Linked DNA regions of Coturnix japonica. The protein of the gene in region 1 purifies or fractionates together with the protein of each later gene. This does not show direct contact. Links are inferred from orthologs where the notes say so. Each region holds a gene or a part of one and is shown on either strand. Other genes may lie near its edges.

The links.
Region 2: the proteins of POLB (region 1) and LIG3 purify together in Homo sapiens (affinity purification with mass spectrometry; 3 studies listed by BioGRID and IntAct, counting the BioPlex papers as one, with this or other methods). This does not show direct contact. The link is inferred for Coturnix japonica from reciprocal best matches to the Homo sapiens genes POLB and LIG3.

What each region holds. Positions count from the first base shown.
Region 1 is NC_029537.1:4,115,299-4,119,784, reverse strand, and holds the start of POLB (DNA polymerase beta), read left to right. Parts: upstream 1-1,636; 5' UTR 1,637-1,713; coding exon 1,714-1,774; intron 1,775-1,841; coding exon 1,842-1,899; intron 1,900-2,039; coding exon 2,040-2,106; intron 2,107-2,609; coding exon 2,610-2,684; intron 2,685-3,164; coding exon 3,165-3,223; intron 3,224-4,337; coding exon 4,338-4,387; intron 4,388-4,486. Other genes in the region: olfactory receptor 4S2-like, read right to left, coding at 1-441.
Region 2 is NC_029534.1:3,402,337-3,406,810, reverse strand, and holds the start of LIG3 (DNA ligase 3), read left to right. Parts: upstream 1-1,465; 5' UTR 1,466-1,620; coding exon 1,621-2,098; intron 2,099-2,424; coding exon 2,425-2,562; intron 2,563-2,987; coding exon 2,988-3,185; intron 3,186-3,616; coding exon 3,617-3,768; intron 3,769-4,242; coding exon 4,243-4,409; intron 4,410-4,474. UniProt on the Homo sapiens protein: Isoform 3 functions as a heterodimer with DNA-repair protein XRCC1 in the nucleus and can correct defective DNA strand-break repair and sister chromatid exchange following treatment with ionizing radiation and alkylating agents.

The DNA.
Region 1 (4,486 bases):
GCAGATGGCCGTGTAGCGATCGTAGGCCATCACTGTCAGGATGAAGATCTCTGTGCAGCCAAAGAAATGGACCCCAAAGAGCTGCGCCATGCAGCCCACAAAGGAGATGGTTTTGTTTTTGACAAGGAAGTCAGCAATCATTTTGGGAGCTGTGACAGAGGAGTAACAGATGTCTACAAAGGACAAGTAGCAGAGGAAGAAGTACATGGGGGAGTTCAGGTGTTGGCTGCTCATCACGGTGACAATAATGAGCAGATTTCCCACCACGTTCATTGCATAGAAGCAAAGAAACATCACAAAGTACAGCCCCTGCACACCTCGACTCTCAGAGAGGCCGATGAGAATGAACTCCTTCACACGACTTGTAATCACTGCATTGGTCAGTTGGGCAGCCATACACAACAGACAGCCTGTGCACATGGAAAACCAAAGAGATGTCATTTGATATCATCATCATCACTAATAATGAATTCTGTACCAGAAACTGGGAAGCACATAGAATTACTATTAACCCTACAAAAGCATTGCTTTCCCCATTTTTTCCCCCTGGGTATTTCATTCTCCGCGAGTGAAACTTTGGCCATGGCTGTCATGTGCTCCTTCATCCTGGTCCTTTGGGGCTGTGAAGGACTGAGCCTACAGTCACTGTGCTATGAAGGACAGTGAGAGGCACAACAAAGGCGCAGGGCAGGATGTTTTCCCCCATTATAGTCCAAGGTTATGATTACAACCCTTGTGAGAACCCTTGTGAGACACCCATTTCCATTTCTGGCCTTCCACAGGGGCAACTGACACTGATACTGGTGCCTCCTTTGAGTGACCAAGATTGACTCGGACTTTTGACTCGGACTGATCCAAACTTTTGGTTTGGATCTCAGTTTGGGAACTCTCTCTCTCCACAATAGTGTTATATAGAGCTCGGTAAGCACAAGCCAAGCCCCAAATAAGCCATTCCTCCTCAGATCTTTCTGAGCTGCACCATCCCTTACTCAGATACTCACTTAGTTTCTCAGGGTCCCACAGGTGTTCAAGAGTAAAATCCCATGACACTAGGGGTCCCCAAGCTTCTAACCTCTTTCCTAGACCTCATCATATTTCCTGCCACTCACCATTCTCTGATTTTTGGGAAGGCTTCCTCTACATAACGTAAATTACTCTTGCAGAGCATACATGCAGACAGACTGATAGCATAGTACCTAAGCTGGCACCCTGAACGTGCATAAGGAACTGGGAAGAGCACTTGGAAACCAGTCCAAACCCCATATTGCCGTTTAAATTAGCTGGGATATACAGGGACCAGGCAGGTATCTCCATCAGCACCCTTCACTGATTATAGCTACGTGCAACTCCAACATAGAACACGAGGAGCTTAAAAAGAAACCAGTGTGTCCCAAGGAACATAACGTCCGCAGCCCTCAATACAATGCTTTACAACTGCCACAGTTCCGCATTATGTTCTGAAGTGAACCACAACAAATGCCCGGCTGATTCTCGAGCAGCAGCAGAGTTCCGACCTCCGGGACCTCCGGGGCCTCCAGGGCCTCCTGGGCCTCCCCTCCGGCCGGACCACTCCTCTGCCGGCCGCGCCTGCGCTGTGCCGGCGGAACGCGGAACCCAACCCGGCTCCTCCCCGCCGGAACCGCGGCCTTTCCCTGTCACCGCCGGAAGCGCTGCCGGCCGCTTTTCCGGTGTTAGTCGCTCCTGCTGCCCGCCATGAGCAAACGGAAAGCGCCGCAGGAGAGCCTGAACCAGGGCATCACGGACTTCCTCATGGGTATGGGGGGCGCGGGGGGCGGGTCTGGGGTTCGGCTCGACTGGTCCGACTGTGTTTCTCCCCGTAGAGCTCGCGAATTACGAGCGCAACGTGAGCCGGGCCATCCACAAGTACAACGCGTACAGGTACCGTCTCCTTCCTCAGGCCTGACCCGTTTCTTTAACTCGCTCCCGGCTCTCGGGGGTCTGGCCCGGCCTCGCTGCACGAGCCGTGCTGGGGGCTGAGCGCTGCGCGGCTCTGGGCTCTGACCGATGCCGTTCCGCAGGAAAGCGGCCTCCGCCATCTCCCGGTACCCCAGCAGGATCCAGAGCGGAGCCGAAGCGAAGAAGCTGGTGGGTCCCGGGGCGAATTTGGGCTTCTCGGGGTGAAGGAGTTGCGTTAGGACGGTACCGAGGTTTCCAGGAGGAGGGAAGCGATGTGCGAACGGCTCTGCCTGCGTCAGCTTCTGGCAGCCGGCTCAGGGAAGGGGGGAGCGGAGCGCATCAGCTGTGGGGGTCTCATAGACTTGAGCTGGGGACTCCAGCTGGTCTCTTCTGTGCAAGGCAGGTTTCCGCTTTGCTGTGTTGCTGTCTCACCAAGTTTGGGGAATTGGAGTTGCAGGAATCAAAACCCAGTTTAAAATAACTGTTTTCAGCGAGTTTGTAATGCGGCACTTGAAGTGCTGAGTTTGTGCTGCTTGTGTTGTACCTTTCAGTGCTCCCGATCTCTCATAGAACAATGTTTTAAAATGGTTTCTGTGACTTCACGGCTTTTTGTTGAGCTTTATTTTTCTTAGCTGTGATGGCTGTATGTGGCCTTGAAATTGACTTGTGTTTCATCCTTCCTCAACATTTAGGATGGAGTAGGTGCTAAAATAGCTGAGAAAATAGATGAGTTTTTATCCACTGGAAAGCTCCGCAAGTTGGAAAAGGTGTGTTTCTTTCCTTTGTGCTTTATTTCTCAGCAGTTGTTTTACTTTGTTCTTTGGGAATTGGTCTGCTGCTTTTGTGCAGCTTCTGTCCCTCTCTGTGGAGGGACTGATGTCAAGCACTCTGCAAAGTAAAGTGGGGAACAAGAAGCTTAGGCAAAGCCTCTGAACTGTCTACTTATATTTTAGATTGTACAATTGGCACATGAATGTCTTCTGTAAGAAGTGGAATGCAGGCTCTGGAAGGCTGTGGAATTGAGTTTTAACCACGCTGTTTACCTTAGTATGGGCAGTTAAGACAATTAATTTGCAGGAATGGTACATTGTGGCACCATCCTAATGCATAGTATTATTGTTAACACTGTTTTGTTCTGATTTACGGTAGGTCTCCAAAGCAGAATCTGACCAAGTTGTTTTATAAGCTTTCTTTGTCTACTGAAATGGAGTAAAGAAGAGCTTGTTCACATTATTATGTTCTTGCAGATTCGACAAGATGATACAAGTGCTTCCATCAACTTCCTGACACGAGTTACTGGAATTGGGTAAAGCTTGGTTATTATCTGTTAGTGCAGGGGGGAAGTGGTTGTTGTCAGAGTTGTAGAGCTGTCAGTTACAGGTTTTGCAGTAGAAGAGTGGAAGTAGAAAGCTCCTGTGTGCAAGCTGAGAGGGGAAGGAGGGAGGGAGGCGATCAGAAACTGAATCGGAAGGTTGAGAAAAGTAAAATCAAGAAGACATAGTAGGAGCCTGTGAGACTTATGGTGCAAAATCTGATTAGGGAGAATAGTATTTGTACCATGTTTGTAAAAGGAGATCCAGAGCCCTGCCAACCCCTCAAAAACAGGACTTTTCAGAAAGATTATATTAGGAGTTCTCAGGCCTGTTCTTGTTCCCATACTGTGCGTAGGGAAATTTTGGCAAAAAAAGAGCTCAGTCTACAGACAGGCACTTAATTTAGCATGTGCAGAGCAGCAGTAGTCAATATCTTGAGTGAGAAGGGCTGTGATACTGCTTGCCAAGAACAGGATTGGCTAAATATAGAATATCGGTGCTTAAAAACAGAACTGGGTGGAATGCTGTGGGGAAGGAGAAGCAATATTGAGACTGCCTGAGGTGGAAGGCAGGAGATGCAGTGGTGCTTCAGTAATTCTGAAGAAAGATTTGCTGAAAGGTTGTGGGTGTTTATGTTGTGCTTATGATAAACTCTTCAGCCAAGCTGCTTTTCTGTAGTGTAGGTTGCAAGCTAGAGTCTTGTGTAGATTTTTGTTTGTTTTTAAGTTGTAGTCTAAAGACACTTGCATTGTTGCCTTAAGCTGATTCAGAGGCTGTTAATAGTGAATGTAGTCCTTGTGCCTTCAGTTCCATACTAGTATTTGTCTAAAGCTGTGCTGGCTGTTTGGTGAGATTGTGTTGGTTTACTTTTTAAAATCATACATCAGTATGTAGTTCCATCAATACTAAAAATGTGCAGTTGGATAATTGTCTCTGTTGCTTGAAAACACAAGCTAAAATGTGCATGACAAAAGGATGATAAGCGCTGCAAGCAACCGTAATCTCAACCTTGAAAAATCAGGGCAGTTTGAGTGAACTGTGATGTCCTTTGTAGTGCTGTAAGGTTCCTGCTGTTCCTAATTGCGTGATGCCTTGCCTTTTTTGCAGTCCTGCTGCCGCTAGGAAGTTTGTAGAGGAAGGAATTAAGACTTTAGAAGGTGAGTATTGAGTGTAACTTTGGGTCCTCAGTTTATTCTCTGATAATGTTTCTTATGTTGCATTGCTTGTTTCACGGTAACAGTGTGATAGCAGATAAG
Region 2 (4,474 bases), on another chromosome or scaffold:
TAATTCATCTCACCCAGCTCGAGCCTCCGCAATGCCCTCTGCAGGCTGCTCTACCGATCACACGCAGCCTATTTTAGATCATTGCTGACTTTTAGACACTGAAAGTTAACAGAAGCGAATCCAACCACCGGCAGGTTGCTCAGCTGCCTAATTTCAACCAGATAAGGCAATGATTGCATCTGTAAATCATCTCTTGACGGCGCAACTTTTCATCAAGTAATTGGAACAATGAAAAATTGAAGTATGTTAAACTTCCCTACCTTTAGCCCTGCTCTGTCAAACATGTGGTCCTGGAGCTGCTTCTCACACACAGTGTTCTGTTCAGCATCCCATGGTGCCACATAGATGCCTTCCATGCACAGCCAGCAGCAGTTGTAAAGGACTCCCCCATCACCCTGAACCCGCTGCAGCTCATCATCAGGGCCTCAAAGCTGTGCTGGGTTCACCTGGAGAGCTCAGTTCTTCCATTTCAGGGCTCCCACCACTTTGGCACCACAAGGGACAGGCTGATTTCTCTTCTGAATGCAATGCACTGAGAGCAAAGTCCTGCACTCTGAATTACCGCAAATTAATGCCAACTTGCTGCTTTACAGGCATATTTTACTAGCAAGAAATGCTCACCTAATGGACATCATCCCAATTCTTCCAGGTTTTATCCTCATTCACAGCTCCAAATGGCCCACTCTGTGTAGGTGGAGATTAGCGTTCTAAGAAAACAAGGAAGATGGCTGTAATTCACCTTGTCCTTGCTGGAGGGCTGCAGTACAGCACTAACAAGACTGGTGATGTGAATTCAGAACCCTCCATCTCACAGACTGCATCAGACACACCGAGTGACAGCACAGCAGGTCAGGGATCCCAGAGTCACAGAATTATCAAGGTTGGAAAAGACCTAGATCTTCTAGCCCAACCATTCCCAATACTTCCAGGCTAAATCATATTCCTCAGCACCACATCCAAGCATTTCTTGAGTCATTGAGGTGATGAGGTGATGCTGCAGCACCTCGGGGCTGTGAGGGCTCCATTGGGCCGGACACAGAGCAGCACCTCAGGCCCACAGCAACACAATGCAAGGCAATGAGAGCCCCCAAGTGATTCAGCAACACCGCAGACCTGGGTGGGCAAAGCACAGTGCTCCCAGAGGGCACTTTGTGGAGCCTGAAGTGCCCGTTTGGGGTCGAGCAGCCCGTCAGACCCCCACCATCACAGCACAATATGGCGGCCGTGCGGTATCACCTCAGCGGCGCCACGCGCCGGAGCACGCGACACTGCCAGAGGCGGGAAACGGCGCGAGGCAGCAGCACGTGCAGCGATTGGGCGGGGCTGACTCAGGGGGCGGGGCTAACAAGGAAGGGGGCGGGGCCTAGTGGCAGGAATGGAGCACAACGCTCACAGCGCATGCTCGAACGGCACTTCCGGGATACCGGTAGGGGGGGGGGGGGCGCGGTGCTGTGCGCATGCGCACTGTTGTACGGTGGCCTGGAGGCGGCGGGTGAGGCCTAAAGCCGGGCGGGTTGTGCTGGGCGCTGTGGCGGTGATGGCGGCGTTGTTCCGCGGCCCAGCTGCCGGGTAGCCCCGCTCTGCCCCGCTCTGTCTCTCACAGGGCCCAGGCCGGGCTGGATGCTGGCTGCTCTGTGTCGTGCCGTTCGTGTTCTGTCGCTGTGCTGGCCCACACTCCGCTCGTGCTCTCGGTACCGGCTGCTGCTTTGCGGGGCTGTGCGCTGTGTGAGTTTCAATCCTTGTGTTGGTGCTGCTCGGCTCCTCGTCCCTCTGTCCGCACACACGGGGCTGGGCCGGGCCTGCAGTGGGGATATGGCCGAGCAGAGATACTGCGTGGATTACGCCAAACGAGGCACGGCCGGATGCAAGAAGTGCAAGGAGAAGATAGTGAAGGGGATGGTGCGTATAGGGAAGATCGTTCCCAACCCTTTCACGGAGTCTGGTGGGGATATGAAGGAGTGGTACCACGTCAAGTGTATGTTTGAGAAGTTGGAGAAAGCTCGGGCCAGCACTAAGAAAATTGAAGATATCACGGATTTGGAAGGGTGGGAAGAGCTGCAGGATGGGGAGAAAGAGCTCATCAGCAACCTCATCTCAGGTGAGACTGCAGGTGGGACACCAGGCACCGCACAGCTGTGTATTCACCTTGTAGTTGCACAATGGTTTGGGAGGGACCCTTTGGTTCCAGCCCTTTGCTGTGGGCTGCCCAGAACGTTACAGAATCACAGAATGAACCGGGTTGGAAGGGACCTCAAGGATCATGTAGTTCCAACCCCCTGCCTGGCAGGGCCATTCACTGTATGAGAAATGTCCCTCCATCCTCAGTTTGAGAACTTGCTTGTTCCAATATATCTTACATACATTCAGGGTTGCTGTAGATTATGACTGGCTGCTGGTTTGAACCCTTGACTTGCTGCTTTACAGAAGCTACGTCCAAAGCTGCGAGTACACCGAAGAAAAAAGCAACAGTTCAGGCTAAGCTCACAGCCACAGGACAAATAACCAGCCCCCAGAAGGACCCATTGGCTAATGCCAATCCGAAGAAGTTCTCTGGCTTCACAGGTGAGTCTTAAAATGATTCTGGGAAATCCTTCTCTTCCAATAGCAGCAAGTTGTTGTTTTGTTCCTTGTCACTTTAACAGTGTTATTAGGACAATGAGCTCCTGTGAAGGTGCATGAAGCAGAAATAAGATAGAAGCATCTGCCAGCAGGAGTTTGTTTTCATTGAGGCTTTAACTGTATTTGTCTGGTAGAGTTAAGGGAGAAAAATCCTGAACAAAATAAGTGGGGGGAAAAAAAATACATGTATTTTTTAATGTAACTAAAATTTAGACCCAGATTTTGGGGTAGCACATCATTATTCAGTTCTGAAGCTTCGTCACCGCAGTGGGTTTGTTCTCTTCAGATTACCTAATAGATGTGTTCTCGTCTTCAAAGTCTGCCTGTACTGTACTTATTAAAAGAACAACCTGTTGGCTTTCGTTCAGCCAAGCCCAAGAATTCTGAAGAAGTGTCCGCAAACTCTTCCCACAACTCCAGCCTGTCTGCAAAGAACTGTGATCCCAAGCACAAAGACTGTTTGCTGCGAGAGTTCAGGAAGCTCTGTGCTATGGTGGCTGACAAGCCTAGTTACAATGTGAAAACACAGATCATCCAGGACTTCCTGAAGAAGGGAAGTGGAGGAGGTACGATTCCTGCTTTGCCTTTTCTGCATGTGAATGCTCTCTCAAAATTAAAGTTCCATGTTATTATGGCAAAAGGAAGGGAGAATTAAAATCAGATTGTTCTTCAGGCTGCAAAGAGTGATTTCTGAACTGAGAATGACTGCAAAGTGAACTGCTATCTAAAGAACAAATGCAGATTAGAATGTCTTGGGTCAGAACTGCCGTGGTTGTTTGTAGATGCCCCCTAAATTAGCACCGGTATCAGATTTGGAGAGAAATTGTGGATCCCCTGAAAAATGTCCCTTGACATGTAGCAGAGCAGTGCAGTGGAACAAGGAAGACACAGCTGTGTTGGTTTTTTTCCCCTCAGTCATGTTAATGAGTACAAATAACCTGAGCCTGTAATGAAAATGAATGGTGACAGTTTCTAATGGTGTGTGCTTTTTTTCCAGATGGTTTTCATGGCGACGTATACCTGACCATTAAGCTGCTCTTACCAGGCATCATTAAAATTGTTTACAACTTGAATGATAAGCAGATTGTAAAGCTGTTCAGTAGGATTTTTAACTGCAGCCAAGAAGAAATGGTCCGGGACCTGGAACAGGTGAGTACAAAAAGCATCTCTCTTAATTTCTTTGTGCACAGGAGTTGGTAGCTGACTGTGCATGTATCCAACTCCATAGCAAGACAAAGAAAATGGGTGAATTCCTTCACCTTTGTTGTCTTGATATATACCTTGATATATAGAGCCTTCTAACGACACCACTGGACAGAGATTCTTGGATTTACAAATGGATTAATCCTGGGGAAATACGGGGCCTGGGATGCTGCAGCAGTAATAAATAAAATACAGCAGTCAGATGATAGTAGTACTTCTGCATGCATTTTTGCAAGTGAAGTGGCTGAGCAGATGTATTCTGTGTCATGGCAGCTTTATTCTGATGTTTGGCTGCAGTTCCTTCATGCAGTTGCAGCATTGTTTCTGTGCTGTCCTGTGCTTGCTGGAATCATGTTGAATCTCCAGCAGTAGCTTTCCCATTTGCTCTGACCAACACCCTTGTTTTCTTCTTGGAGACAGGGAGATGTTTCTGAGACAATACGCCTCTTCTTTGAGCAGAGCAAATCTTGTCCTCCTGCAGCCAAAAGCCTCCTGACCATCCAAGAGGTAGATGAGTTTCTCATCCAGCTATCTAAGCTTACTAAGGAAGATGACCAGCAAAGTGTGCTGCAAGATATCACTCGCAGGTAAGGGATTAAAGAGCCTCTGAAGGCTGACCATAAAATTAGGAGTGGTTATCTACATTTCACAA